4 linked regions of the Rhinolophus ferrumequinum genome follow. The protein of the gene in region 1 interacts with the protein of each later gene in a pairwise test. Links are inferred from orthologs where the notes say so. Each region holds a gene or a part of one and is shown in the gene's direction. Other genes may lie near its edges.

Evidence for each region.
Region 2: the proteins of LZTS2 (region 1) and RAD51D interact in binary tests that used the Homo sapiens proteins (3 or more experiments, as listed by UniProt). The two-hybrid records come from large-scale screens. The link is inferred for Rhinolophus ferrumequinum from reciprocal best matches to the Homo sapiens genes LZTS2 and RAD51D.
Region 3: the proteins of LZTS2 (region 1) and TNIP3 interact in binary tests that used the Homo sapiens proteins (3 or more experiments, as listed by UniProt). The two-hybrid records come from large-scale screens. The link is inferred for Rhinolophus ferrumequinum from reciprocal best matches to the Homo sapiens genes LZTS2 and TNIP3.
Region 4: the proteins of LZTS2 (region 1) and RIN1 interact in binary tests that used the Homo sapiens proteins (3 or more experiments, as listed by UniProt). The two-hybrid records come from large-scale screens. The link is inferred for Rhinolophus ferrumequinum from reciprocal best matches to the Homo sapiens genes LZTS2 and RIN1.

What each region holds. Positions count from the first base shown.
Region 1 is NC_046299.1:23,693,846-23,701,158, reverse strand, and holds the start of LZTS2 (leucine zipper putative tumor suppressor 2), read left to right. Parts: upstream 1-4,309; 5' UTR 4,310-4,462; intron 4,463-7,152; exon of another isoform or gene 7,153-7,273; intron 7,274-7,313. Other genes in the region: TWNK (twinkle mtDNA helicase), read left to right, coding at 794-1,114. UniProt on the Homo sapiens protein: Negative regulator of katanin-mediated microtubule severing and release from the centrosome. Required for central spindle formation and the completion of cytokinesis.
Region 2 is NC_046304.1:23,035,409-23,042,734, reverse strand, and holds the start of RAD51D (DNA repair protein RAD51 homolog 4), read left to right. Parts: upstream 1-4,312; 5' UTR 4,313-4,491; coding exon 4,492-4,573; intron 4,574-4,906; coding exon 4,907-4,968; intron 4,969-5,213; coding exon 5,214-5,332; intron 5,333-7,326. Other genes in the region: FNDC8 (fibronectin type III domain-containing protein 8), read right to left, coding at 2,641-2,849. UniProt on the Homo sapiens protein: Involved in the homologous recombination repair (HRR) pathway of double-stranded DNA breaks arising during DNA replication or induced by DNA-damaging agents. Bind to single-stranded DNA (ssDNA) and has DNA-dependent ATPase activity.
Region 3 is NC_046301.1:4,321,772-4,328,620, reverse strand, and holds the start of TNIP3 (TNFAIP3-interacting protein 3), read left to right. Parts: upstream 1-3,829; 5' UTR 3,830-3,848; intron 3,849-6,849. UniProt on the Homo sapiens protein: Binds to zinc finger protein TNFAIP3 and inhibits NF-kappa-B activation induced by tumor necrosis factor, Toll-like receptor 4 (TLR4), interleukin-1 and 12-O-tetradecanoylphorbol-13-acetate.
Region 4 is NC_046294.1:5,594,267-5,601,809, forward strand, and holds the start of RIN1 (ras and Rab interactor 1), read left to right. Parts: upstream 1-4,534; 5' UTR 4,535-4,584; coding exon 4,585-4,670; intron 4,671-4,808; coding exon 4,809-4,989; intron 4,990-5,080; coding exon 5,081-5,195; intron 5,196-5,288; coding exon 5,289-5,361; intron 5,362-5,483; coding exon 5,484-5,575; intron 5,576-5,726; coding exon 5,727-6,467; intron 6,468-6,690; coding exon 6,691-6,996; intron 6,997-7,292; coding exon 7,293-7,424; intron 7,425-7,543. Other genes in the region: BRMS1 (breast cancer metastasis-suppressor 1), read left to right, coding at 1-69, 660-752, 1,997-2,061, 2,556-2,595, 3,023-3,030. UniProt on the Homo sapiens protein: Ras effector protein, which may serve as an inhibitory modulator of neuronal plasticity in aversive memory formation. Can affect Ras signaling at different levels. First, by competing with RAF1 protein for binding to activated Ras.

The sequences.
Region 1 (7,313 bases):
ACGAGGAATACAAAGTCTGATAATAGCTGGTCCTTTGCCCTCCTCACCCTCCAGGAGCTCACATCCTCTGGTGGGGAGACAGTGGGAGAGTGATTACAACTCAGTGTGATAAAAGTTATGATAGGCAGCACAGGTATTTGGGGAGCAAAGAGAAAAGACATCTGAGTCAGCCTGGGACATCTGGGGAGGCTTCCTAGAGGAGGTGTCAGCAAAGGTTGGGTTTAGTCTTGGCTGACAGTAGGTGTGAAATAATCAAATAAATGGGATGCCTTCTGAGCAGCAGGACCAGCCCGATCCTAGAGCTCCCCATGGTACACTGAATGCCTATTACATGCCAGGCCTGGGCTGGGCACAGGGAATACAGGGCGAGGAGCACAAACTATGTGCCACAATGGAACAAACATGGAGCTGGGGAAGAGAATAACACAGAAGTGGAAAGATGGTGGTACCTTCTTTATTTATGGGGATCAAGAATGGTCTCTCTAGTGAAGTATGACATTTAAACCAAGACCTCAATGATAAGACGCTGGCGTTGAGTAGGGTGGTGAGTTGTGGAGAAGTGTTACAAGCAGAGGGAACAGCAGATACAAAATCTGGGACAGCAGCAAGGTCGTTATGGAACTGAAAAACTCACGTGGCCTCAAGCATCGTGGTCAGTAGTTCAAAGAGCTTTGATGAAGGGGGGGAAGTACTTTCCTCATTCTTGCCACTTCTCCCTGCACCCTCAACCTTTCTTTCTGCTTCTCTCATATGTCTTCTCACTGCTCCTTTGTCCTCTGCCCCCATCCCTCAGGCAAGCCAGGAAGCAGACAATGTTCTGATCCTGCAGGACAGGAAGCTGGTAACTGGACCAGGCAAACGGTATCTACAGGTGGCCAAGAACCGCTTTGATGGAGACGTAGGTGTCTTCCCGCTTGAGTTCAACAAGAGCTCTCTAACCTTCTCCATACCACCAAAGAGCAAGGCCCGGCTCAAGAAGATCAAGGATGACAATGGGCTAGTGGTTAAAAAGCCCTCTTCTAGCAAAAAGGGTGCTGTGTCCCAGAACTCTGAGACTTACTCGAGCAAGGCCCCCAACCCCTACCAGCCAGACCCCTCTAAGCCTTCAAGGTGAAGGCAGTACAGAGCTGGACACTGAAATAAGCCTGACAGGACAGGCTGGGGCATAGACTCTTTATTGGCCCTCTGCTAGGGCTGCCTCTGTCCTGTGGTCCTGAGCTACGGGCTCTTCTCAGTCTGAGGGACCTAGCCTAGGGCAGGGTCCCATAGTGAGAGAATTCAATTTAGCAAATATTTGAGAACCTACTGTGTGCCAGGTTTTGTTCTAGGTCCTAGGAATATAGCACTGACAAGACAGATGAGGTCCCTGCTTCCATGGAACTTAAAATTTGGTGTGGGGACAAGTAAGCTAATGAACAAATAAATACAAAACACACTTTTAGATAATGAAAAATGCTATTCAAAAAATAAAATAGTCATGGGATAGTACTTACAGGCTAGTTTAGATTAAGGTCTGAAAAGTTGTCTCTGAGCAGAGGACATTTGAGCCCGGGCCTAAAGAACTAGTATTGAGCCACGTGAACATCTGGAGAAAGAGGGATCTAGGCGGAAGGAAAGGTAAATACAGAGGCCCTGAGGTGGGAATGAGCAAGTTGAGTTCAGAGTAGTGGGGTCAGGCCCCCTGAACCTGGAGGAGAATAGGGGACTTCTGGCCAAAATTCCAGCATAGGCTTTCCGAGCCGAAGGGCGACATGGTAGGTACCAAACTCCTCCGCTCCAGTCGAGCCTGCTGTGTGGTGGCACTCACTACCATTGGATCCTAGGTGCTTAGCCCTGTAATATTAGGGCCCCAAAGGTGGAAGCTTGGCCAGAGAGCCATGGAAAGAAGCTGTGAACCTAGCGTGCCTGCCACCTGGACACATTGTATGGTATGCTGCCTCAGACCGCTGCAGTGGATGCAGTCATAATTTTTTGTAGAGCCTTTTGAAGTTTTACTAAAATAAATTTTCCATTGCTTTTGTTTCTGTGCTGTTTCTTATTTGTCCACCAGGTGTCTCCCCAGTCTATAACGATTTTCCTCTGAATTGGGATAGGTCCCCTCCCCCACCCCAGTCTTTGAGCTCCGCTCCCAAGGAAGCAAGAGCATTAAAGGGCCTTTACATGCACACACCCTTGACACCTCTTCTTGGCCAGGGGAAGACATGATGGTGTCTCTTTATCCCTGTTTTCCTTGAGGATCTCCATGTGATCTCTGGCAGAGATGTGAGTCACCTGGCCACTTACCTAAGCTCAGCCTGACAAGCTGTCCCTCTGTGATAATAAGCCACGAACTGACCTCTTGCAATGTGGACTCAGGCTTAGCATATTCTTACCTGGCCCCCGTCCACTTCCCTCCTCCTGTACCCTCAGTGTTTCTCTTATGTTAGTGTGTGTCAGAACTCCTAGGACTCTTGTTTTAAAAAGAAGAACATAGGCCCAATTTGCCCCAATCCTCACAGATTTCGAATTCTGGAGGTTCAAGGAGAGACATAGGATTCCTCGTTTTCAACAAGTCCTGAGGGAGATGAGAAAATAAGTTACACAGAGACCCTGTCGGAAATATTCCTAGATGATGAGACTTTCATCTCACTTCCTCTAATATCCTAAAATCCCAGTTTCCCTTTAGATTTGCCTGCAAGAGTGGTAAGAATGCAAGAGGGGCCTAGGGAGAAGCCTTTTGTAAGGGTGGCGGTTGGTTCCCTGCTCCTTGGAAGCAAGGCTGCCTTATCAAGATCTCCCCGTCAACCCAAGAGGGGTTTCTAGGACCCTGCAGAAGGGTCTGGGGTCGCTGTCTTTTATGTGTGAGAACCTTGACTACAATTGGCTCCTGAAACAGACCTGGAGCTAAGCTGTTTGGGGGGAGAACCTGGGGGAAGGGAGGGGAAAGCTCCTGGAGGGCCTCCCTTCTTGGGGGTCTCTCCCAGACTGGCTGGAGCCAGGCCTCCTAATCCCCGCAATAATCATTCCCAGCCGCTGGCTGGTCTAAGCCTCATCCAGGGTCTGTAACATTGAACGTCAGCCATGCCTTCCAGATGCACACCACTAGGTCAGTCCTAACCTATAAAGACGTGGGTTCCACATTCTCGTCTTCCTAGAATGTTTTGTGTGTTCTCAGGAAATCCTTTAGGGGTTTCCATTAAGGGAACTTTGTGAGGTGTCTGTGAATTGGGGATAGAGGGATAGATACACACTTGCCTGTTTGTCTTGCCCCATCCTCCTAGCAGACACCCCACACAATATAAACCAGAATGATGGGGGGAGGGGAAGTTAATGCTCCCCCTGCCCTACGCCCTATACAAATACATTCCACTCCACACCTGTCTTTATTCACATCAAGATGAGCCCAAAATGTGTTCAGGAGTACCTGGAACCTAGAAAGCAATGAGGGATCCCTGAGTCCTGTGTAAGGGCCCTGGGAGCCACTGACCCTGGACATTGCCAAAGTGGATTGAGGCAAAGTACTCTGCTTACGTCCAACTGCATGTTAAGAATCTCCCTGAGAGCTCAGGAAGGGCCTGGCCAAGCAGGGGCCAGCTGGATCTCAGATTCAGCTGTGAGGGCTGCTTTGGTCCTCCAGTAGCTTCTTTACTGCGGTTGGGTTTGAGAAGGAACTAAATTCACTGGACTTATGCTGCCCAAGTACTCCGGCTGTAAATACGGCCCAGATACCTGTAGACATCATATGCTGCCTTGCGTTTCTTGGAGGGAGGGAGCTCTAGGTGCCTCCCTGCAATGCAGGCCTACTTCCTGTTTGTGCCTGTGGGTGGAACTTTATGAGTCTAAGGGAAGCCAGGCCATGCTCTGTGGGGGGCCAGAACTGGTAGGTCTGCTCACCTGGCAGACACTACTTCAGGGGAGAGTGAGGTGTGGGGGCACGCGGAGCCGGGGTGGGAGGGAGGAGGGGACAGAGGGGCGGGTCTGTTTTGGTGAAACCCGAGCCTTCTTTGTCTGCTTCCCAGGGGTTTTCCCGGCGTCTGGGGAGTGGGCTGAGAGTGGACCAGGTTTGGCTCCCTCCAGAGCAGGGGAGGTGGCAGAAAAAGTCTTATAGCCAGCTTGGTTAGGGCAGCCAGGTGGGTAGCTTAGCTGTCGGTCACGTGCCGCTCGCCCCTTCCCCAGGTCGAAAGCCAGATCCTGTAAGCTGTGAAGTCAGAGACCAGAGGGCAGCCTCGGGTCACCGTGGAGCTACTGCGGGGTTTGGTACCGGCTTGGCCGTTGAGTGGGTGCTGAGCAGACCACTCCTTTCCCTCGGTTGGGGGCGCGGCCTCAGCGGCCCCGCCCCTCTCCACCAGGCCGGGCCTGGCGGGCGCTGCGAGTCCGGAGCCCGAAGCGGGCTTGGGAGCCGGCGGATCTGCATCGAGGAGGTGCCCGCACTGGAGCAGGAGGAGCCAGGCAGGAGCTGAAGCAGCGGCGCAGGTGGTGCTGGGTGAGTAGTGGGGGCGCAAAGGTGTAGGAACTCCCGCCTCCCGCACAACTCCGCTCCGGATTAAACTTTGCGGTCTGGCGAAACTGGGGGTTAGGATGGGAGTGGGGGGGGGTCCCTGAACAGGGGACCGACGCGGAAATTCACACCGACGGGCCCACACACGCGTGCACACACACCCACTCACGCACTTGGGACACACAAACACACGTGCACCCAGGAAAGGACGCGCCCAGTGAGTTACTCTTGTAGCCCGTGGAGCAGCGCCACTGGCTGGCGCAGACCCCCAGCGGGCACGGCGCTTGACAGGGGCGGGAGAAAAGTGCAGACAGGGGCGAGGCGGGCGAGACACCGCGGGCTGTTCCTGCTTCCCCGCCGCCGGCAGGTGAGGACTAATATGCAAACAGGCGCCGAGCCCCGGATCGCTTCGCAGACGGGTGGGTTGTGCTTCCCCCACCCCGGCCTCAGGGCGAAGACCTCCCTTGCTAGTCCAGGGCGAGTTTGCGAGGTCCCACAGGGGGCTGTATTCCATTCTCCGCTTCGAGAGGTGATAAGCCCTCCCCCAGAAATGGGAGCACAACGCCCCCTGGAATGGGGTAGCACCGGCGTACCGGAGACTGTTGGACTGGGGTGGGGTTACCTGGTGTCCTCGCCCTTCTCCTGAACACATTCGTGGTTCCCCATCCCTGAAGGTATCAGAGGGGGGCGCTATTCTTGATAGCAGTGGACGGCAGCTCCTACCCCATTCCTCCGGCCTGGGGAGCAGCAACCGTAGCTACATGAGCGCCTGTCGTTCTCCTTGCTAATACCACCCCTCCTTGCAGAACTAGGAGCTCCTCCCCCCCCAAGGTAGGAGCAGAAAACGCACTCATGCAAGAGTGGGAGTCCTCCACCCCAAGAGAATTCAGGACCTCCTTTTCAGTACCAGACTGGGCCTATGCCCCTCCGGTAGAAAGGAGGACGAACCCCATCCCCTCATCCCACCTCACTAGTAAGGGAGTGGGCAGCGGCCCTCGGCCTCCCTCCCCTCCCCACCCCCCACTTCTGCGCGCGCGCGCGCGCGCGCACACGCGCGCGCACACACACACACACACACACACACACACACACACACACACACGTTGAGCCCAGCTGCTGCCCGAGCTTCTGGGCAGTTTGCCAGAAAGGGGAGGAGGCTCCTAGTGCCCCAGGAGGCTGGGATCAGGGCAAGGCCAGAAGAGGGGTCTCTCTCTACCGGAGAGAGGGGCTCCGTCTGTTGTTGTGAGGCTGAGGGTTTGAAACGGGGTGAGCCTGAGGGTGGCTGGGCTATGTTTCCCTTTCCAGGGAGAAAGAAAGAAAAACAACCCTTTCCATAGAGCTAAAAATAGAGCTGAGAGCCGGCCAGGGCTGTGGCCTGGAAGGGGGGGATGCTCCTTCCCTGGGCAGAGGAGCTCTGGCAGGCCTGGGCGGGGGTTAGGGGGCGGGTGGCTGTCCTTGCCCAGGGGTGCTCCATCAGCCGACCTGACCAGTTCACATAAACCCCCACGGAAAGTCTGTATGGTAGAATGTTTGAGCAATATGTGTATGTGTAAAAAGTTGTGTGTGAATAAGACTGTCAATGTGTGAAACATGCTTAGACTAAGTGTGTTTATTAATATTGTGACTGCGTGTGAAGGACTGTGAGTTGTGAAAGTATGCACAACTAGGCGTGTGACACCGAGTGTGTTGTGTCTCTCTCTGTAAGTTGTTGGCTTGAAAGATGGAAAGAAGGAACATGGAACCACGTGATGGATGAGACTGATTGTGGCTGTGTGAAACTGAATGTGGGAAAGGTCGTGTGGGTGTTAAGGTTGTGTTTGCCAGAGGGTGAGAATATTCGTGTCCCTGAGAAGACAGTGGAATGTTGTCTGCTGTGAGGCTGCAGTAGGTTTGGATTGTAGATTTGGACAGGCTCACCCCAGTGATTGTTGAGGGGCCAGGGCCTTCATCTCTGAGCAATATCCTCTTTTATCAAATGACACTGAGGGAAGGTCGGGGAGCACAGGGCCGCGCCTGCTGCAGCCCTGGGCTCCAGGAGGAGGGGGATACAGCGCTGGGGAGTCAGGTAGGACTCCCCGCTCGAGGTCGGGATTTGGGGGGTAACTGGGCGTGTTCTCCGAATCCGCCGCCAGGTGGCGCCGCCTCCGCAAATCCAAGTGTGCGGCCTCCAAGACGCTGGGGGTGGGGCAAGCACGGACCGAGCCTTGGCCCCTGACGTGTGCTGGGGGGGAGCGGGCTCTGGGCCCGGGCCGCGGGCTAGAGTGAATGGCAGCTGGCCTTCGGCCTCCCACTCTGGACTCCGAAGCCGGAGAGTGTCTGTGAGGGAGGCTTCAACTAGAAGAACGGAGGGGGTAGGGCGGCCGCCACGGCGCCAGGCCCTTTGTGCTCCAACAATGACCAGCCGCCACTGGCCCCGGGGCCCCGGTTGGAGTAGAGGGTGACCTGCTGCCGCCACCGAGTCCTGAGCCGACCGAACTCCGCAGACACACAGCCACCGGCCTGGGAGGGAGGGATCCTGAGTCCGGCTGTGCAGCGCCAGCGTGCGCCCCGCGGGACACGCGTGACGCGGGGTGCTTGCGCGTGCCCGCGCCCCGGGGGCGGGGACGCCCCTGGGACCCCTCCCCCGCGCTGCACCGCCCACTTGGGCCGGGCGGGGTCTGCCCCGCGAGGGGCGCCGCGGAGGCGGGGCCGGGTCCGGCCGGGCCGCTCCGAGTGGCCGCGCGGGCTGGAGCCGGGCGGCTCGCCGGTGGAGCGCGGGGGGCGGCCCGGGGCTGAGCATGGAGCAGCGCGGTGGAGGTGAGGGGGGCCGGGGCGGGGAGGCGACCTGGGGGTGTCC
Region 2 (7,326 bases), on another chromosome or scaffold:
ATTATTGTTTAATATGTAATGCAATTACTAATTCATTTACTTAGCATTTAACATGTAAAATATATAGCCGTAAAATTATTATAAATATACATATACTGGGGTGAATTCTCAAACTTTTCTTCTAATTTCTTAAAATTATGAACTATTTTAGACATATCCAAAGATATCAAGAATAATATATTAGGTTGGTACAAAAGTAATAGCGGTTTAAAAGGTTAAACATAATTGCAAAAACCGCAATTACTTTTGCATCAACCTAATATTATTAAGCTTTTATTTAGCCATCATCCAGCTTCAGAACTAAAGCCTCATCAAGATAGTTAAGGCCCCGGACGTGTCTCTCCCCACCTCCGTCCTCATACTCCCTCTAAGAGCTAACCAGTAAATTTAAAATTTTGTGTTTATTATTCCCCATATGTCTTTATGGGTTTGTTACATATGTATGTTATCCCTAAGCAAGGCCTATTTTGCATATTTTTAAACTTTACACAAATAAATGATCACATTGTGTACATATCGATGGTAGCTTGCTTTTTCACTCAACATTGTGCTTTTTAGATCTATCTGTATTATACATGTAGCTCTGACTCAGTCATTTTGATTTTTGTGTGGTTTTCCATTACAGGGATATTTGTATTGTTACCAATTCTTTACTGTTACAAAGACAAACCTTCCACATGTTTGCCCACTACTTAATTTTTTTTTTTATTACTGATGAAGTGCAAAATCCCCCAAAAATTGGCTTTCAAATCTTTTTTTTATCTTGACTCAAAGAAATACACATTACATGGCAATGTAGTATACTCATACATATACATACAACTAAAACACAACTGCACAAACCAGTACTTTATGCGTGATAGGCCCTGGAATTTTTGATCTGTTTTATTTCATTTTTAAAATATTGGTCTCTACCAACTAGAATGAGTTCCTGACTCACTAATGGGTCACAACCCACAGTTTGAAGAGCACTTGTCTAGAGAGGGCAGTCAAGGTCACACAGTGAATTGATGACAGAGTTTGAACTAAAACCCAGGTCTCCGGGGTCCCAGGCCTGTCCCATTGCTATGTAGCTCCCATCTGTCCCTGGCTCTTCTCCTCTGCTTCCTACCCCATCTCCCCCAGCTGCTCTGGCCAAGTCCAGCAACCACCACACACCCCTGGATCCCTTACTCCAGACCAGCCACAGGCTTCATGGTTGGTTGATGGGCCAAATTTTTCCTCCCTGAGCTCCAGCCCCGTCGGCCTCCTCCTAAAAATATCCTGATCAACTCAAAGCTCCTATGCTAGCCTTTGGTGGACATTTGGAACAGATGATTCCCTCACTAAGGTCTCTTATACGCCGAAGAGTCTGAGTATTAATGCCATTTATACTTCAGATTGTCCTAATGAACCTCTATTTTAGATTTCCTTATTCAAAACACCAGTGCAGAAGTGGGCATGGAAGGCAGGGAAGAAGTAGGCTACATGCTGGACATATTCTATTCTGATCTTTACAGCAGCCCTACTAGATGGGTGGTAGCCCCATTTTGCAAATTAATGACCTTCAGTCTACAGCCATAGATCTAAATGGTAGAACGTGGATTTGAACGTGGCCTCATAGCCCTAGACTTTCCTACTATACCATGAAGTTTCCTATAAACATCCATGACTTTAGCCATACCCGCTTACTTACAGGTCCATTAGGGGGAAGGGACACTACATCCCTTTTCTATAATCAAGACGAGCTACATAGTTTGTGGGTCCCCTTCTTCAAAAATTATTAAGAATTTCAAGACAGTGACAGCGGAGCATTGAAGTTAAGCACTGGGCCCTTCTAAGTGTGGGGTTGTGTATGACTACACAGGTCACACGCCCATGAAAATGCCCTGCAGATAACTCCCTCAGCCTCCATCAACCTGCACCACCACCCCTTCACTGGCTCACTGCTTCCCTTCCTAGGAGATTCAGCTCACATGTCACCTCTTCCAGGAAGCCTTCCCTAACTGAACCCCCCTCCAAGCTATACTAACCCCCCTCTGGTGCCTCAGTGTCCTTTCCTAGTTGCTTTATTCGCAATTCTTTCCTGGCACCTTCCCAACACACATACCCCAGGCTGGGAGCTCTTTAAAGGCAGGGACTGTTCTTTTCAGCTCTGCCTTCCCAGAACTTAACCCTGGGCTAGACACCTTGCAGGAGCTCAAAGAGTTTTTTGGAATGAAGTAAATGGAACCCAGAATTACTGAGGAGGAACATAAACCTCAGTCCAAAAGCAGGCAGACTATTGGGGGGATATAATCAGGCAGCAGAAGGCACCAGAAGGGAGGATTGAGAAGAGGAGTCTTAGGGGAGTAGAATGGAGCAGGGGTGTCTGTGGGTGGCTGGGGGTGTGGGAAAAAGACCTTAACTAGACAAAGTAGACGAGAAGCACTGTTAACAAATCTCTAACTAATCCCGAAAGGCCTCCTGGAACTGCAGGCCCACATGCCTCCAAGAAGTGATTTGGGGTCCGGAATCCATGGTGCATCCTGCACACATGCTCTTCCCTGGGAGCTCAGGACCTGGGTTGTGACAGGTCCAGAAAGTACCGCTTCTTCAAGCCCTTCCCCACCCCTCAGCCCTGGCCTAAGAAAGGAGAAAAGGACCAGACTTTTGTCTTACGGTAGATTGATGGTATCTTCCTCCAAGAAGTTAACCAAACTGCCTCTTGAGGAAAGTGGGAGTCCTTTGGTAGCAACCGTCCTGTTCATAGACTTGGGGTTTGGAAAGGGCTTCGACTTTTGATCAAGCACACTCGAAACATTGAGGGTTTCCTTTTTCAGCATGGTCTCCTCCCCATCTCCCACTTTACAGAGCACCTCTGATGCCATCTAGTTTGTTTGGGACCACAGCTGTCACCGTACAGGACAACCAAGCTGACAGGAGGCAGAGAGAAACTGGGGGCAGCGGACCCACCCTAATTTGGGTGGGATGGGGGTGCAATGAGCTGACTTCATAAACATCACAGAGCATAACAATTAGGGGCAAGCCTCTCCCTTGATCTGAGGCTGCTGCTGCCCAGGGCCAGGATCTAGAGTGGGGTAGAGCTAAGGAACAGACTCCATCACCCTTCCAGCGCAAATGCTCTGTGGTTACAGCAACTCTGTCCTCTGAAGATCTCAAAATGTTTACCACCTGTACCTTTTGGTGCTGCCCTGGGAAGGAGGAGAAGGATGGTGGGAGAAAGACACCTGGGCACGGAGGGAGGCAGCGCTGGAATGGGTCTCTGGGAGTACGAGACTTTGTAGAACACTGAGGCTCTCTATCCAAAATTCTAGGCAGCACAGCCTCACTATGTTCAGTCATATAGGCAAAGGGAAAGCCCATAAGTTCATGGAGTTCATAGCTCACATATACCCAGGTTTCATGGCTAGACTTCTAAACATGCCACACCCTCACCCCAAGTGCTTCGTATGTTGAGCGACAGTTGGGAGTGCTGCAGAGGGAAACAAAGATGGGCCAGACATTATTTCTGTTCTCAAGGACACCACTGTACAGTAGGAAAACATACAACTTCGGGGATAAGAAGAGAAGAGCATTGGCTTTGCACTTAGATGTGGATTTGTCTGTGCTAAATCCAGCTCTGCCCTTACAAGCTCTGTAGTCTTTGAGATATGACTTTACCTCCCTGAGCCTCAGTTTCCTCATCTGCGAAATAGGGATAAACATAGCACCTGCCTCATTGGATTATGAGAAGATAACCCTGTAAGGTTGTTTTGTTTCTTCCAGGATGAGACAAAGCAAAGGACATTTAAAAATAACAAATCCTATTTTTTGTGTTCTATATACTCAGGGTTTTTGCTGTTATTCATTAAAAAATGGAAAGTACAGAGAAGCAGGTGTTTTCTGTGTGTTCCGTTGCCTCTTAGCACCAATGATATAATCTGTAATATTTAACTTTTTAAAAAAATTTTTATTAGGGAATATTGGGGAACAGTGTGTTTTTCCAGGACCCATGAGCTCCAAGTCAAATCGTCGTTTTTTCAATCTAGTTGTGGAGGGCGCAGCTCACTGGCCCATGTGGGAATGCAACTGGCGACCTTGGTGTTATGAGCACTGCGCTCTAACCACTGAGCAAACCGGCTGCCCCCATACTATTTAATTGATTTGATTTCTCTTCACTGTCTTGCCCTCACTAACAAGCAGGTCCCCTGTGCATAGGGATGGCTAGCCTTGTCGAGCTTCCTGGCCCAGCGTTTAGAACCGAGGCTCGCAGGAAGCCGCTCGTCCGTCCCTCGCAGCCAGCAGATGGCGCTATCGGTCCGGCCCTGGAGCCTGGAAGCCGGAAGCGGCCCTGCGGCCCGGGAGGGCGGGCCCTGGGCAAGGGAGACCCGGCAGGGTCCGCACTCTCCGCGCCGCCGCTTCCTTTCGTCCCCGCGGGCCCGGGGCCCCTCCAGAAAGAGGCGCCGGGAGGCGTCTAGAAAGGGCCCCGCTGATGTCCACGGGAATAGCGGCCCGGGGTCCCCAGGGAACATGGGCATGCTCAGGGCCGGACTGTGCCCAGGCCTTACCCAGGACATGATCCAGCTTCTGAGGAGCCGCGGGATCAAGACAGGTGACCGCGTGTGCGCCCCACACAGCTGGGCACACCGCGGATGCCACCCCCACCGCCCTGACATACCCGGGAGGGGGATAGCTCCGCCTTCCTGTGCCCCCCACCCTTCTGGAGAGGCTCGGAGGGAGGGAGTGGGCACCCCAAACCCCAGGCAGGCTCCTACTGTGTGCTGGGCACCGCGTCAGGTCCTGTGGCTCTGGTAGTTCCCGTAGGCCTCCTGAGATGATGGTCTGCCCTAAGGTAACACTGTCACCCCATTTCACAGATGAGGAAAAGCCAAGTGCGGGAAGCCCCGCCCTTCCTGCCAATCATCCACACTTGTTTTGTTTTCAGTGGTGGACCTGGTTTCCGCAGACCTGGAGGAGGTAGCCCAGAAATGTGGCTTGTCTTATAAGGTGAGCTGACGAACTACACTTTCCAAACCGGGGTGTTTCTACATGTTCATCCCTGAGCCCAGGGAGTGAAGGGTTCCGAGAGATTGATGGGGGGGGTGGGGTGGGGCGTAGGAGACCCTGGGATGCCCCCTCCCTTGGCTGGTCATTGCTCGTGGCTGAGTACTCTTGGTTGCTGAGTACTCTTGGTCCGCTTTGGGTTGAAGTGCCCCTGGGCTCGTCCTGAGTTGTCCCCGCCCCTCCGGCAGGCCCTGGTTGCGCTGAGGCGGGTACTGCTCGCCCAATTCTCAGCTTTTCCCTTCAATGGCGCTGATCTCTACGAGGAACTGAAGACCTCCACTGCCATCCTGTCTACCGGCATTGGAAGGTTTGTATGTGTACTTGGGGAAGAAGGTCAGAGGCAGGAGGACATGGCTGCCTCCTGCTTGGGTTTTGATGCTTGAGTCTAGAGAGCAGGGTTTCTCAGGCAGTGGTGAGGCCCGTTTGGACCAATGGTCAAGACTTCTGACTTCTCTTACCTTAAACGGGGTTTCTCGACCTCACACTCCTAACACTTTGGGATACATAATTATTTGGTGGCGATCAGGGTGTCCTGTGCACTGTAGGATGTTTGGCAGCCTCCCTGGTCTCTATCCACTAGATGCCAGTAACACCTCCCTCCTCCCTATGTCATGACAATCAAAAAATGTCTCCAGAAATTGCCAAATGACCCTGAGGGACACAGAATTGTCTCTGATTGAGAACTACTGTCCTGTAACACACGATGTCAATATTTCACTGTTATTCAGCATATCAGAGCAACTCTTCTCTGGCCCTACCTCCTATTTTAACTTAAGGATAGTGCAGGAGGGAACTTGGCAGGACTAACATTCACTGAGTGCCTACTATGTGCCAGCCATTGAATGTAGGTTATATAATCACTTCAGTGAATCCTGTGAGTTAGTAATTATTAAGCCACTTCAGTTTAACCCAAGAGGAGTGAGGGGCAGAGGTGGGGCTCAAGCCCTGGGGTATTTGACCTAGAACTTGGTGCATGCCCCATACTCTGCAGCAGGAGGGGACAAGAGAGCTTCCATAAAGGACTAGTTATTAGGTTGGTGCAAAAGTAATTGCGGTTTAAAAGGTTAAAAATAATTGCGAAAACCGCAGTTACTTTTGCACCAACCTAATACATTCTGCCATGTTGTTGAAAGAGAGAGAGAGATGGAGGACAACAGCCAGTTTCTAGCCAAGGGCCTGTTGGTGTGGAATTTGATGAAGAACTCTACCATCAGAAAGGTTTTTGGATCAGTTTGACCCTTGCTGTTTCCATAACACGTTCTCTTGGCAAGGTTCAACAGCATGGTGCCTGCTCCCCCTGGTTGGGGGTCTGAGTCTGTTATCCATCAAGCACTGGCTGAGTGCCTATTGGGTGCCAGATAAGATTCAGATGATAGGTGTGCAAGTGAGGCTTCTGCACTTGAGTGTGGGGTCTAGTGAGTAGAAAGAAGAGCAGGTGAACACAACAGAGAGGTGCATGCATGCGTGGAGGCCGCATAAGAAAGGGGTGATTAACAGACTTGGCCTTTGGGCTTTGGGAGCTTATAAAACCAACATCCTCAGAGGAAGCATTTATGGAGCAGTCAAGTGGTAAACTGGCAGGATTGCAGCTGCAGAGGGTCACTGCAGGGGAGAGCAGAGAGGCTCAGGAAGCCTCTGTGAAGGAGGCAGGTCTTGGGCATTGAGGAACGCGTGGCCTTTCTCAGTGCTTACCAAAGGCCAGGCACCGTGTTTACACTTCACGGTGCATTATTTCATTTGTTCTTCCCAACCACCAATGAGTGCATTACAACTAAAATCACCATTCTTTAGATGAGGAACTGAGACTCGGGTTAGGTGGCTTGCTCAAGATCATGCAGCTAGTAAGTGGCAGACTAGACCCCAGAAGTCACATCTGTCATACTCCTAAGTCTAAGAACCTGACTCTAAACCATCTACCCTGTTGTCCCTCAAGGCGGTGGGCCGTATTGTGAAACTAGAGCTACAGGCGTGTGGTAGAGGTGTGCAGGGTGGATGGGACTAGGGAGGCTGGCAGGAGAGAGCCCAAGGAAAGGGATGGCAGCGGTGGGGTGTGTGAGTCCGATCTAAGGCAGGTGACAGCGGGAGACGTATTGATGAGGACAAGTGGCAAGCCTTACTGCCAGGTAGGATTCAGGTGTGAAGAATCAAAGATGACTCCCTAGGTTTCTCCTTCCTCACAGTGGTCTGTGGACAGTGAATGGATGTGATGTTTTAAAGGGAACCAGGAGGGGAGTTCTTTAGTCAAAAATTTGGGAAATGTTCCAGTAACCCGAGTTAAAGAGATCTCTTTGTCATAGACCT
Region 3 (6,849 bases), on another chromosome or scaffold:
TGGCCACAGTAAGTCCGATTATCCTCAAACTCTTAATTGTCAATACCATTTATATTTCATTTTGACATCTTTTCTGTCTACAGTTAGGAATCATTCCTTCCTTCTTCTACTCTTAAAATAGTAGGTCCTTACTGTGAGCCAGATACCATGCCGGGTTCCGGGGATGTGAACATAAAGAACTCCTGGATTTGGGCCTCTAAGTCATCCTGTTTTCTCAACAGGATGATGACTCTTTGAAGGCAAACCCTTATTTCTTTACTTGGACTCTCAGAATCACAGGTTTAGAATCAAAAGGAGCCTTAGAAGAAATATCCATACCAACCCCCCATACTCCAAGCTCTCCCAATGTAAGCTTCCCCCACCTACCATTACTCAAGACGGTGAAATGACCACAATTATTTACCTCCTCCCTCCTAAGACTCCATTTAAACAACACCCAGGCACTACTGTACTACGTGCCAGGCACTACTGTACATATTTAACATATGTGACATAGAACATATGTGCCTCATTATAGCCCTAAAGAGTCAGGTGATATTATCCCCATCTTTCCAAAGAGGGAACAGAAAAGTTCTCCTGATTTATCAAACTTTAACCTGATAAATTAGGTCTTTCCCAAATTTTTCAAAAGTATGTGCCATATATTCTAGAAGTAATTTTGGAAGATCTCAGTATGTAATTCACAGTATCTTTGTTGGCAGAGAGTAGTTGTATTATAGTCACACTCGTATCAATGATGACAGTATGTAAACGTTGTGGGTCCTGTCGACCACATATGTGAACATTTCTGGGTGAAATATGGCTTCTTAGCTGACTCAGTAGGCTAGATGATAAATGCCACAAACAATACAGAGCTGTTGATTTTTACCCCAAATTAACAGAAATGGGAAGATAGCAGGCAGACACTATAGTCAAGCAGTAAAAACTCAACTACTGATAAATTAAGTACTTCAGGGTGAAACATCTAAAAAATTCACCTTGAATGGGCACGGGTGGAGAAGCGTCAGGTACCCTATCTTCCCTTTATCTTTGTACTGTTCAGTATTCAGATGCAATTTGCTTTAATGAAAGTTCACTGTGTCCTCTGTCCATCTTGGTTGGTTCCATTTAGGATCTGTTTTAAGTATTTGGGATCTGTTTCAAATATTTAAAATGTTTAGCAAGATAAAAATGTTTGAATTGCGTTTTATAAGGAATTAGTGAACCACAATCAAAGGTGACCGCCGTGTGCTGCTGAGACTGGGAGTTCTGGCTCCAGCATCATCTGGTTTGTTGTAGTAGGTGCTTTGTCTATTTTCATGTCTCCACACGAGCCAATAAAAATTCAGGAAGTCCGTGCCTCCCATCCAGACTGATTTTGTGCTTTTGCTCAGTGAAAAACCATAGGAGACAGAACTTCAGGAGAATTCCTTTTCATACCGTTTAATGTCACCCTGACTTGTAATTAGTGAAGATAAAGTTAAGAGGCCCCAATGTGTCCTTAGTCTCCTGAGACTTCTGAAGTTGTTCATTTCTCTAATATTCTCTTTAAAAAGGAAGGAAGGAAGGAAGGAAGGAAGGAAGGAAGGAAGGAAGGAAGGAAGGAAGGAAGGAAGGAAAGAAAGAAGGAAGGAAGGAAAAAAGGAAGAAAGTCACTGACATTGAGAAAAGTCCTGTGTCCTCAGTTGGCTTGATTTCATTTGCTTCCACTTCAAAGACAAGCCTTTGATGGCTGAGTGTCTTTTTCTGATCGTCTTCGTTACTGTTCTGTTGGAAAATATCTGTATTGGTAGAAACAGATAAACTATTGGAAATTATAATTATGCCTGGGATATTGACTTTTCTGATTATCATTAGTTGATATTTTGACTTCCTGGATAGAATAATAAGTGTAAAATTCCAGCCTATGAAAGGACATTCAGAAAGGAAATGTAAAGCTCTGTAAACTTTGGGGCAATACTTGTTTATTTGCAGTGTCTCAGAGGAATTATCTGTGAATCTTACACTATAAAATTTTAAGTCTGGAAATTTCTCTTTTCACATGCTATTTTGGGGGTTGTTTACCACCAGTGTTCAAATAACACAATGTCATTTCCCAAGAAATATATTTTTATGAGATTTCATTTACAATGTAATGATTTTATATATTACTTTTAAAAATATTTGAATATTAAAATTAGAACTCGCCTTGTTTCAAACTTGGAATTTGCTCTGTATAATATTCAGTTATGAAATAATAATAGCAAACCATGGGCTGGGAGTTGAATGGCTGACATCAAACCTTCACTCGGCCAATAATTGGCCAAATCACTTGTCCTCTTTGGGCTTCTGTTTCCTCTCCGGTAAAATGATGGTGCCATAATTCTCAGGGTATTCTTTAAGGTCTCAAAATTCTGTGACTCTGTGACACTCCGGGACTCTATGTGTCCTTTCAGGTCTGCTGGGAAATCGGCATTCTTTAAAAGGTAATTTTAGGAACAATGAAACCATCAGAGACATTTTTTAAAAAGCTTACTATACGTTTATTTGAGTTAGTTAATTGAATTTTAAACACCTCATCTTCTAAAAATTACAGTATGGGCACTTATTGCAAGTCACTGTCTGTCAGGTGGCACCTCACTCTGCCTGCCTCTTCGATGCATTTGCAGAACTGGGTAATACTTCCAGAGTAGTATTTCCATGTGCAGAAACTCGGCTCTTCTGTAATTTTCCTGAGTAAAATGACAGCTGTAGTAGTTGGTGGTCCAGTTCCTACAACAGTCCTGAAAAGCATTTGCTTTCATCTAGTAACTGGCTACCATGGTGGTAACAGATGACTTTTAAACAGCTGTCACAAGCGGAAAACAAAACAAAATTAAAAAGCCATCCTCCCACACTATATACAGAAATCTTGCCAATAGCTGAAGCAAATCCTTCTGGGAGCATTTTAACAAGCAAACTTTTTTTTTATTTTTATTTTTTTTATTGTTGCTACAATTCAATAGAAACTCATAAAACTCAGACAAGCTAGCTTCATGTTTCCCACAGACTTGAAGTGCCTAAATTTTCTAATGGGATCATAGCAATTAGTGGTTTCCAGATACATTTAAAATGTGTTAAGTTCCTGCAGGAATTGGCTTTTAAAACATATACAGGTCCTCAAATGCTTCAATCTACTATAAGCCCCATGAGGTACTATGATGTCTGTGTAATATCTGACCATAATTTGGTGCTTAAGTTGCAATTAATATTAAATAGAAAAAAATGGGAAATGAAAAAATTCTGTCCAACAGTTGTTTTTTTGTTTTTGTCTTTGTTTTAAATGGTCACATTACATTCACTTGTTATCTTGGGAATCATGGAAATAATCACTAACTCCTATTGGACACAAAGTAGGAATGAAAGCTCCAGGTGTCCTGGAGAACTCATTCCTGGACTCGGCTAATTGAATTGCAAACATGTCAGTCTGACAGCATTAACAGTTTATGACTTGTATGTTGGAATGTCCCCCTTTCTTTCCCTCACTCCTGGACAATTTCTCCCTGTCACGAGATGCTTCCTAAATTGAAAGACTGAGTCTCTATGTTTACACCTAGGGTTTTACTTTTGATTGAAACTAGGCAGAAGGCAAGTTTATGGTCTATCTTTTCATAACCGGCAAGTGCTGAAAACAAGACATGAGAATAAAAACATGGCTTTTGACGAAAATGCGTTAAACAGGTGGTTTTCTCTTCCAGTGACTGACATAGTTATCTTCCCTGGAGACACATCCAAGCCTCATGTCCTTTATATTTTTTTCTTTTAGATTCCACGTGAATGACTCATAAACAAACACGAAAACACGAAAAGGAACTGGTAATGTTCACCAACCAGCCTGAAGACTCTGAAAGGTAATAACGATGTTTTATTTAGAGGACGTAGGCCTCTAATAGTAATTCGAGTGCTTCTGCTTTCAGACAAAGATGATGAGTCTATTGAGAGTAGACAAGAATGTGTCTGATAGAACCATACAGAAAGATAAGAAAAAGACACTGGCTAACAGTGTGATTGTTGGAACACATTTTCTTTCATTACTTTCATTGCTATTGCTAGTTGAACAGGTTTTCACTGCCATCCAAGGGGCAAGGATTATGGTGGGTTATGAAGGTTTTCGATTTTTAAAGTATTTAGTAAGTTTCCCTTGACAAATTTGGCCCTTAAGGTAATTTATCTTGAATAGCACAAATTTTCTCCTAGGAAATAACTCGATTTCATTAATAAGGTGAAGAGGTAGCTATATCTTCTCTCCTGACTTACTTACTCCTTAGCTCAGGTATAGGGTGAGAAATTCACTAAGTCCCTTATCAAAAAATCCCTTCCTTGGCCTTTTATGGCTTTTTCTCAAGCCTCGCTCTATTCATTGACCCATATAGTTATTTCTTTAACTTCTTATTTGTCACCTGTTATGCGTAAGCTGCTTACAGAACATGAATCCAGTATGTCCTAGCTGCTTGCAGTTGAGACGTGACACACACGCACACACCTAAGTATAATATATGTTGAATGATTTGCCTCATCAAAGAGCTACTGAGGAAGGTGAAACTCTGAGCTATGAGCATAAAGACATGCATGAAGAAGGAGTCATTGATTTAATTTCTGGCAATAAAGCGGGGAGGAGAGGACATGAAAAAAACAGAAGGAAAGAGTATTGTAGGCTGAAGGCAGAGGGTGTACAAAAATGTCACGCCAGGAAAGGCGAGGACTTGTGCTGGGGCCAGTGAGCGGTCCAGTGTGGCCTCCACATCTGGCACGTAATACCAACACATCTAAAGTGAGAGACGAAGTAGCTGAGAACTTATTCGATAGGCCAATGTTCTCTGTCTAAGACAAAACTTCTTTTAGGCAAATGATAATTAAAAGAAAATAAGACTCAGGTTCTTACGTCAGTGTTTCTCAAACTAGGGTTCTCTTAACCTGTGGGTCTGGAAACATGTTCTCAGGGTTCTTGGTCTGTCAAAATCTTCATTAAAAGGGGCCTATGTGTACTTCCAAACACGAGAATCATGACTGGGCACAAGGGCAGCCACTGAGACCTGTGAACAAGGGACTGACAATAGGCTCAACAGGAAACAGGGTTTCCCTGAGAAGGAGGAAGACTAGAAGCTTGAATAAACATAGAGACGCTGCTTTCTGCCATGCCTCCCAACCAGTGACAGTCAGTATGTGTAACATGCATTTTAGTCTTTAGTTATATAAATTTAGCATTTTATTGTGCATTTATTTTTTATGATTCTATAATTGTGCTGTGTGTGTAAGTCGTGTCTCTCTGATAAGATTTTATCTACGTCAAGGGAAAGAACTCAGCACACAACATATAACCCACTTTAACAGTAGGTTTACAATAAGAATTGGTGTATTCCATATACATTTTTATAAAATGTAAGTAATATATAGATTGACATCACAGGAGTAGTCTGAAGATTAGCTGACTCTATTGACAACCTCTAAGATACTATGGATGTGACAATAGAAGCATAGAAGACAACATATGATGTTGAATAATTTCTAGGAAAGATGGTATCTCATTCTCAGAGGTCCATATTGGGCACATATATGCAGTTTAAAAAAGAAACAATGAAAGAGGAGAAAGGAAGGAAAGAGGAGGAGGGAAGAAGGAAGGCAAACCCTCTGTTTCTGTGTTTTGAAGATACATATATCCTTAGCTTTTCCTTAGGTATAGTCATTCTGCAAAGAGGTAGGAGTTCCCCTCACTCCCACCCCTTCCACACACACCATTTTTGTTCCATGTGGAGAACTGTAAGGACTGTGAGCTCCCAAGTCCTCCGTTCTCTGGCCTTCCCTCCTCAGCAAAGCATGTTCATGTTTAGATTCTCTCCTTCTACCAATGATGACAATTACACAGAATTTAGTGGTTATTTTTCCCAGAGTACTAAAATTTTTGTATTTCTGAGAGAAAGAAAGAAAGAAAGGTAGGTCCTTTGACAGTAATTTAAAATGCTCAGGAGATGGTTTTCAGGATAAACTTTAAGGTGTATGTAACGTGGGGTCCAGAAAGATAGTGGATAGAGAGATACTGCAGTTCATGTCTTTGTCCCAAAGGAGGTGAGAAAGAAAGAAGAAGGAAGTGAGAGGCAGCCAGTCAGGAACAAGAGAGTGAGTGTGGTCACCCCTCTTTCTCTCTTGACCACGATCCCTTTTCATTTAGGTTCTGAGGGATAAAAACCGATCGCCATCACTAGTATACTGATTTATATATTGTATGATGGTTGTCATCCCAAGCTTCTTTTCAAAGTAAAAGAGTAAAGCAAACAACATTGATTCCAGTGGGGCCTTATCAAAGTAAACACGGTATTTTTGTGGCTTTCATATTCTCCTTTAACAGGATCACACAGCACATTGTTTTAAAAGCAGCCCCACTCCACATAGTCTGATCTGGGGTCGTCCTTCTCTACAAGTCCTCTTCTACTGCCAGCTCTCATTTTAATTTTTTTAAAGCACGTCTCCCTGCCCTAACATTACATTTTAAGAGACCTAAGTATTTTTCAGAAATGAATTATGTGTTCAGAAAGTTACAATGATAACCTAGCAAGGAAAGCGATTATGATTTATTATAGCCTCAAGTAGAGGGAATCTCAGAAACATCAAATGAATGTTAAGTTCTCATGCCGGGCCCCTTTAACCTGGCGTCGACGTCATGCACGTTAGCATTCATTCAACCTGTGTACTGAACACGGTCGCTACAATCTTCATTATTCATTATTCATTGTCTTCTGGGAACAGTGTACTGGTTGCTACGCACGTAAGGAGCTCCCGTGTCTTTCCCCGTATTCAAAGCATTCAAATGTCTTTATACACAACATTGGTGTACTTTAAGAAAATTAAACAATAGTT
Region 4 (7,543 bases), on another chromosome or scaffold:
TGCAGGGGGAGCTGCAGGAGCGGATCCAGAGGCTGGAGGAGGACCGCCAGAGCCTGGACATTAGCTCAGGTGAGGCAAGACGCCAGCCCCGGCACCCCTGCCCCAGGCCTGGCCCCGTTAGTGCCCAGCCGCGGCCTGGACCTTCGCGTCTCTGCCTGGACAAGGGGATAGCAAGAGGGGTGGCTATAGAGACTGAATGAAACCAGGCAAAGAAAGGGCCGAGCCAGTGCCTGGCACACAGTAGGGGCTCAGGGAGAGGGCCCCCTTGCCCTCCTTTGCCCCTGCTCTCTTTTTAGAACAGGAGATGTGTCATTCTGACACTCCCACACATACCACAGCCACAGTCCCCTCCATGTCCATAGTGTCTGCCATTCTTTGGGGGCCCTGGGGAGGCAGGAATTATCATCCCCCTGTCCACTAAACAAATGAAGAGATCGAGGTTTACAAAAGTACAGTGACTTCTTTCCCAGGTTGCACAGTGGTGCAGTTGAGACCTGAACTCAGCTTTCAGCACCCAAGCCCAGGGTTCTCTCCGCTGTCCTGGGAGGTGGTTGATGAGGAAAGACTGGCCTGGCTTATGTGAGGAACACAGGCTCCAAGGGTGGGGGTGTTTTGGGAGGACCAGCACCCCAATCCTGACTCTGGGTCTGGGGTCACAGAGTGGTGGGATGACAAACTGCACGCCAGAGGCAGCTCAAAGACCTGGGACACCCTGCCACCCAGCAAGAGGAAGAAGGCACCCCTCGTTTCTGGTATCCTTCCACCCCACGGGGCCTAAGCTGGGCAGGATGGCAAGGTCAGCGCCAGACCGGGGAGTGGCGCGGTGGAGGGGACACAGAAGACAGAATCAGACTAGACACATTTATGGTCACTTGGCCTCACGTGGCCATGCCTGGGCAAACCCAGACCCCTCTCTCATCCCTGCCTTGCCCGTGCCCCGGCCCCCATTTCTGGGCACTGGGGTCCCTGGCCAAGCTGGGCCTCCCATCCCCCTCAGGAATTTTTTGTGAGGTCCTGGATCTGTCCTGGGTTGTGTGGGTCATGGAAAAATAGGAACATCCATTTAGTGACTCCCCATAACTTCCTGAGAGAAATCCCTGAGGCCCTCTGGCTTTCCCACAGTGTCACAGGCCTGTCCCGGGCCTCCCCACCCCCATGCCTTTCCACCCTCTTGGAGTGCCTTCTGCCTGTCTGTGCCTGTTGGACGCCACCTCCTCCATGAAGCCTCTCCTGATCTTCCCCCAATGGCTATGGCTTCTCTCTCCTCTGCACGCCTGTGACTTAAACTGGGGCACCCACATCTGTGGGGAGCAGTGGCCTCTGCCCCACCTTAGGCGTGAGCCCCTTCAGTCCAGGGCCTGCTGTGCCTTCATTCCTCGGGCACAGCCGAACACAAAGCTGAGGTGAATCCCCCCGCCTGGCGACGGGGCTCAGATTCAAGGAGGGCGGAATCGTGCTGCATGGACTTGAGGGGTGAATGGGGGATGAGGGTGTAGAGACACCAGGCACAGAGCACAGGAGAGCAGAGCGGATGGTCCCCAGAGGGGAGTGTGAGACCAAAGGAGGGTTTTCAGGATGGAAGAGACTGGAACGTGTGTGTCGATACGGGGAAAGGGGCCAGATAAGGGGACAGTTCAGGGGACAGACACTAGAAGGAGCAAGGTCCCTGAGCGGGTGGAATGGGCCTTGGCCTACTGACCTTGAGACTGGAGAGAGGTGGTGAGGGGGAATCAAGGTGGGAGAGGCAGGGGTGAGGCTCAGTGCCCTCCCCGCCCCCGCACCCCTGCTGGACTTGGTGACACAGGCCATAGCCACACCGACCTCTCAGAGGATCTGGGGGCCGAGAGGTAGGAGGTGGACCTTGAGCTCCAACCTGTGACCTCAGCTCCGCTCCAGGGTCCATGGCACCACCTATCGTGAGTATTGGAGCTCCCGGGGCAGAGGCCGTCTCCCGCCCCCTCCACTGGGCTTCCTGCTTCCTTAACCCCTATTGCAGGCCCTTACATCGTGTACATGCTACAGGAAATCGATATCCTAGAGGACTGGACGGCTATCAAAAAGGTGGGTCCGCTGCTGCACGCTTCCCCCACCCTGTCTCAGGGAAGGGCCTGGCAGTGCAGCTCCCACCGTGACAGCAGCTTTGGTCTCTGCAGGCTCTCCACGTGGGCTTTTGAGGGCCTGGGGAGCTCTTTGCTCAGCCCATGGTGCCCGCTGCCTTCAGCCCAGCTTTTCTGGCATTGCTGTCAGCTCACAAATCTCCTTTTACCCAAGGCTGCCCTGGAGGAGAGAACTTCTAGTCTGTGTCAGCCCCTTTCCTGTTCTAGGGCAGGTGTTGATGAGGTGGGAGTAGGGAAGAAGGGAAGGTGGGAAAGCAGCTGGGCTGGCTGGGCCTCTGGCAGGAGGCCACGTCAGAGCTTTGGAAAGTGTTTTATGCTCCCCGCCCCTGTTGGTGCCGCACTAGCCCCGCAGCTCCTACCCCAGAGACGCTGACGAGGACCGGGACCTGCCAAGTGGGAGGTAGGCTCTCAGAGGGCCTTTTCTTCTCTCCCATCCAGGCTAGGGCAGCTGCGTCCCCTCAGAAGAGAAAATCAGATGGTAAGAACCACAGGGGTTGTTCTACCCTCACTACCCCCTCCCCCAGCCCAGCCTCCAAGAAAGGAGCCCAGGTAGAGACGGTGGCCATGTCAGATCGGTGGCCTGCGAGTTCAGATGGTCTGGGTTTGAGGGCACTGTGTGAGTTTGGGGAGCAAGAACCAGGGTGGGTGGGGAGTTCTAAGCTGAAGGGTCTAGGGAATGAAGCCTCCTGCCAGGATTGGTCAGGGAGGGCTGGAATACTAAGCCCCTGCGGGGGGGGGGGAGGGGGCTAGTGGGCCCAGAGTGGTGATGGGCTCACAGCTGAGGGCTGCGGAGCTTCCCTGGGTCACACCAACGCCACTCTTCAGTCTCCCTTATGAAGGAGCTGCCTCCCTCTTGTTTCAGCCGCTTCTCACCTGCAATGGTTTTCCCTTCCCACATCCCCCAGGACCGTGACCCTGCTGTTCACAGCCAAGGGGCCCCTCGGAGCAACTGGCACCAAACCCAGGATTTGCATTTTCCTGCTGCAGAAAGGCAGACTGACAAGCCCCTCGGGGTCTGCCCAGTCGGCCCTCCAGTCCGCTGCTGCGCCCTCCCCTCCAGCCGGCACGGACCTAGCCTCCTCGGCCCCTCCTCGGGGCCTGTCCAGCTATAGGCGGCCCTAGCCAGGCTGGGCTGTCTCCTCCCTCCCAGACCAGCCCCCTGCCTCCCCCCTGAACGTCAGCCTCCTTGGTCCCCTCCCTGACAAAGAAGATATGCCTTGTCTTCAGCCAAAGCACATCCTTCCTGCTGACCTTGGACCGGCTCCCCAGTCACCGAGCCAGTGAGTTGGGCCTGCTTCACGGGAACTCTGAGCCAGAAATTACATTCTGGAGGCCTGTCTGTCCTGGCTGTTGCCAGTGGTGAGAAGGCAGTCTCCCCAGGTCTTCTCAAGGCGGTCCTTGGTACCTGCCTCCCAGATTGTGGGGACTGGAATTAAAACCTTTCTTGGGACTCTCGCGTGACCCACATGTGTCTGATTTACCTTGCAAGGGAATCAGGGCTCCCATGGAGGGTGCCTGAGACAGGCAGTCTCTTCTGGAATCTGTGGTACCTCCTCTTACTCCCTAGCAGGAGCCTACCCACTCTGACTTGGGATATAGGCCGGGGGCTGGGGGAGGCTCTCCTATCACTCGCCCAGCGGTGGGGGCTCGGCCCTGGACTACCTAGTGCTGGTGAACAAAGTCTGAAGCAACGTGGCACAGGCAAAACACATGGCCTCAAATGGGGAAGGGAGCTGGTGCTCAGTGCTTAGAGACTGGGTCATGTCTGCACCTGCCCCAGTCGCTCGGCAGATTGGCAAGGCAGGCTGGCAGGGCCTATGTGCGTGGGAGGCAGCCGGCAGCAGTGCCATGTGCTGACACCTCGCAGCCAGACTCCCTCCCATTTAGTGCTGAGTGTTAGAACCACCCCCAGAACCTCAGTTAAGCAAAGAGGTTAGTTTCCATGGAGACACAGCATCTTTTCTCCATGGCAACCTGAAATCCCAAAATCTAAGTTAGGTTTAGGAATGAGTCATCTGTGACCAGTAGGGGGCATGCTCTCACAAGGGTGACCCCCAAGGCCTGGGCAGTTGAGCAATTGACCGCAGGCTTAAAGGTGCCCCAGAGGAGAGGCTTGGGCCTGTGGGGAGGAGCCGGCCCTATGTAACCCCTTCCTTCCCTCCCACCTGTGTTGTGAGGTGACTGGCAAGGCTGTGGGAAGACCTGTGGAGGCAGCAGCCCCACCGCTTGGGCTTCTCAGAGTGGTACTTGCATGGGGAGATCCCTGCCCCCTAAGGCTGGGCCCAGGACAGGAAGCAGGCACTGCCCAGGCCGAGTGGACACAGAAGAGTTAACTGGCGGGGTGTGACAGGGTGTGCCGCCCTCAGGAAGTGTTACTCACCACCGGGAATGTGAGATGTGAGCGCTCTTGCCTTGGGGGCTGGCTTGTCTTTCTGAGTCCCAGGAGAAACCGAAGGAGCTCCCCGCCATGGAAACCCCTGGGGAGCCAGGAGCAGGCCCTCTTGGAGCCCCCAGCCCATCCAACTTCGCACCTGGGCACCTGGAGAGAGAAAAGTTAGTGAAGTTCGAAAGGCAGCCTGCTGGGGAAGGGAGGGACTGCCGCGCAGGGTGTATCCTGGAGCAGAGGAAGGGGAAAGGTTGGGCAAGGGTCCCAGCTCCTGGCCCCCGACTCAGGCCGGTGCCTGCCCCCAGGCCAGCACAGGACCCGCTGTACGATGTGCCCGATGCCAGCGGGGGGCAGACAGGTGGGCCCCAGCGGCCAGCGCGCACGGTGAGCCTGCGGGAGCGCTTGCTGCTCACACGGCCCGTGTGGCTGCAGCTGCGGGCCAACGCGGCCGCCGCACTGCATGTGCTGAGGACGGAACCCCCAGGGGTGAGTCTTGCCCCTACCCCCTGGACGTTGGCCTTCAGAGGGTGGGAGGGAGAGGGGCTGGACCTGAGCCTCCGACCCTGTCCATTCGCAGACATTCCTGGTGCGGAGGTCTAACACGCGCCAGTGCCAAGCTCTGTGCGTGCGGCTGCCCGAGGCCAGCGGCCCCTCCTTCGTCTCCAGCCACTATATCCAGGAAAGCCCTGGGGGTGAGAGGGACTGGCCTGGAGGGAAGGGGCTGGAAGCAGTCATGGCAGGGCACGCGGATTCCCCAGACAACGACTTCACTTTCCATCTCGCAGGAATCTCCTTGGAGGGATCTGAGCTCGTCTTCCCGGACCTGGTCCAGCTCATATGCTCCTACTGCCACACCCGGTGAGCCTGCCCACAGGCGCCTGGTGTCCACTCCCTGTCCTTCCTGCCCCTGCAGCCCATCTCAGCCCCCGGAGCCCCAAGCATCCCTCACGCCTGACTTTCTGTCCCCTCTCTGGCCTCAGGGACATCCTTCTCCTCCAGCTGCAGCTCCCCAGAGCTATCCGCCAGGCAGCCACCCAGAAGGAGCTGGAAGCCATCTCCCATCTGGGCATTGGTAAGGGCTCCCCTGCTCTCCAGGGCATAAACGGGCACTCTGATGCCCAGGGGGAAAGGGACGGTACTTGGGCATAGTCTGCCCCTGTGCCTCGCGCTCAGTTGGGCAACCCCCAATCTCCCTGAGGCCCTATTTGGTTTCTCTTCTCTAGAGTTCTGGAGCTCCTCCCTCAACACCAAGGCTCTGCCGGGCCCGTCCGAAGGCCCACTGCTGCCCCGGCTGAAGCCCCGGTCCCCACAAGAGCTGGACCAGGGCACTGGAGCCGCCCTGTGCTTCTTCAATCCCCTGTTCCCGGGGGACCTGGGCCCCACCAAGCGGGAGAAATTCAAGAGGAGTTTAAAAGTGCGCGTGTCCACAGAGACCTCCAGTCCCCTGTCTCCACCTGCTGTGCCTCCTCCCCCTGTCCCAGTGCTGCCAGGAGCAGCCCCCAACCAGACAGAAACGTTGCCCCCTCGCCAGCTGCTGCAGAGGGAGAGCTCAGTGGGGTACCGTGTGCCAGGGGGTGCCAGCCCCAGCCTCCCGCCCCTGCCCTCCCTCCAGGAGGTGGACTGTGGCTCCCCTAGCAGCTCAGAGGAGGAGGGGCTGCAGAGGCCCCAGGGGAGTACAGCGACCTCACCCCGCCAGGGCCGCCGCCGGCGGCCTTTGCTCCGGTCTGTGAGCACTGCCTTCTGCTCTCTGCTGGCGCCTGAGCGGCTGGTGGGCCGGGCAGCCAGTGCACTCATGCAGGACCGCCACACGGCCGTGGGCCAGCTAGTGCAGGACCTACTGACCCAGGTGAGGGCCGGCCCCGAGCCCCAGGAGCTGCAGGGTGTCCGTGAGGCCCTGAGCCTGGCCCGAGCCATGCTGAGCGCGGAGCTGGGCCCTGAGAAGCTGCTGCCACCCAATAGGCTGGGTGAGACTCCAGCCCGGCCTCCAATGCTTCAGCCCTGTCTCCATAATCCCAGCTCTTCTCACCCACTTCACTCTCTCCTCCTCTCCACAGTGCCAGCCTGTCTCCTGTCTCACCAGGATTCCAACCCCCTTTCATCCCTCTCTCCCCGACTATGCCCCTTCTCCCTGGGACTCTGCCAGGCCCCACTCCCTTCCTCTGACCTCTGCCTGCCTCTGCTCCACAGAACACGTCCTGGAGAAGTCACTGCATCGCTCGGTACTCAAGCCTCTCCGGCCCATCCTGGTGGCCCGTCTGAGGTGCCGGCTTTCTGCCGACGGCTCTCTGGGCCGTCTGGCTGAAGGCCTCCGCCTGGCCCGGGCCCAAGGTCCCGGAGCCTTCGGGTCCCACTGGAACCTGCCCTCCCCGGTAGAGGTGGAGCCGGTACGCCAGAAGCTGCTCCAGCTGCTCCACGCCTACTCACCCAGTGCCCAGGTCAAGTGGCTGCTGCAGGCCTGCAAGCTGCTCTACACAGCCCTGAGGACCCACTGGGGTATGCCCCCACCCACTGCTCCCTGCCCTCGGAGGCAGGCCCCCCAGGCAGAGAGTTCAGGAAAGGCCCAGCAGGGGAAAAAGATGGGTCCCACCCTCCCATCCTACAGATGGTGACACTGAGGCCCAGACTGGAGAGCATCTTCCCCTCAGCCCCTGCTCGTGGTTGCCATAGAGACCATATTGCCCAAGGCTTGGCAGGTGGAGGGGAGGGTCACTGTCTAAGACAAGGAGTGGACTCTGACCCTGGAGCCCCCAGGAGTCTGAAGCTTCCTTGTCTATTACACCACCCCACAGGAGAGGGTGCGGGGGCCGACGAGTTTCTCCCACTGCTGAGCCTGGTCCTGGCCCAGTGTGACCTTCCCGAGCTGCTGTTGGAGGCCGAGTACATGTCAGAGCTGCTGGAGCCCACCCTGCTCACCGGAGAGGGTGAGGGACCCACACACACAGGCCACCTCCCTGTCTGGGTGGGGCTGGGCGCCTTAGCACCTGCATGGCCCCAAGTAAACAGGGAAGGGGAGAGGGAACAGGTCACCCACCCCCAGCCT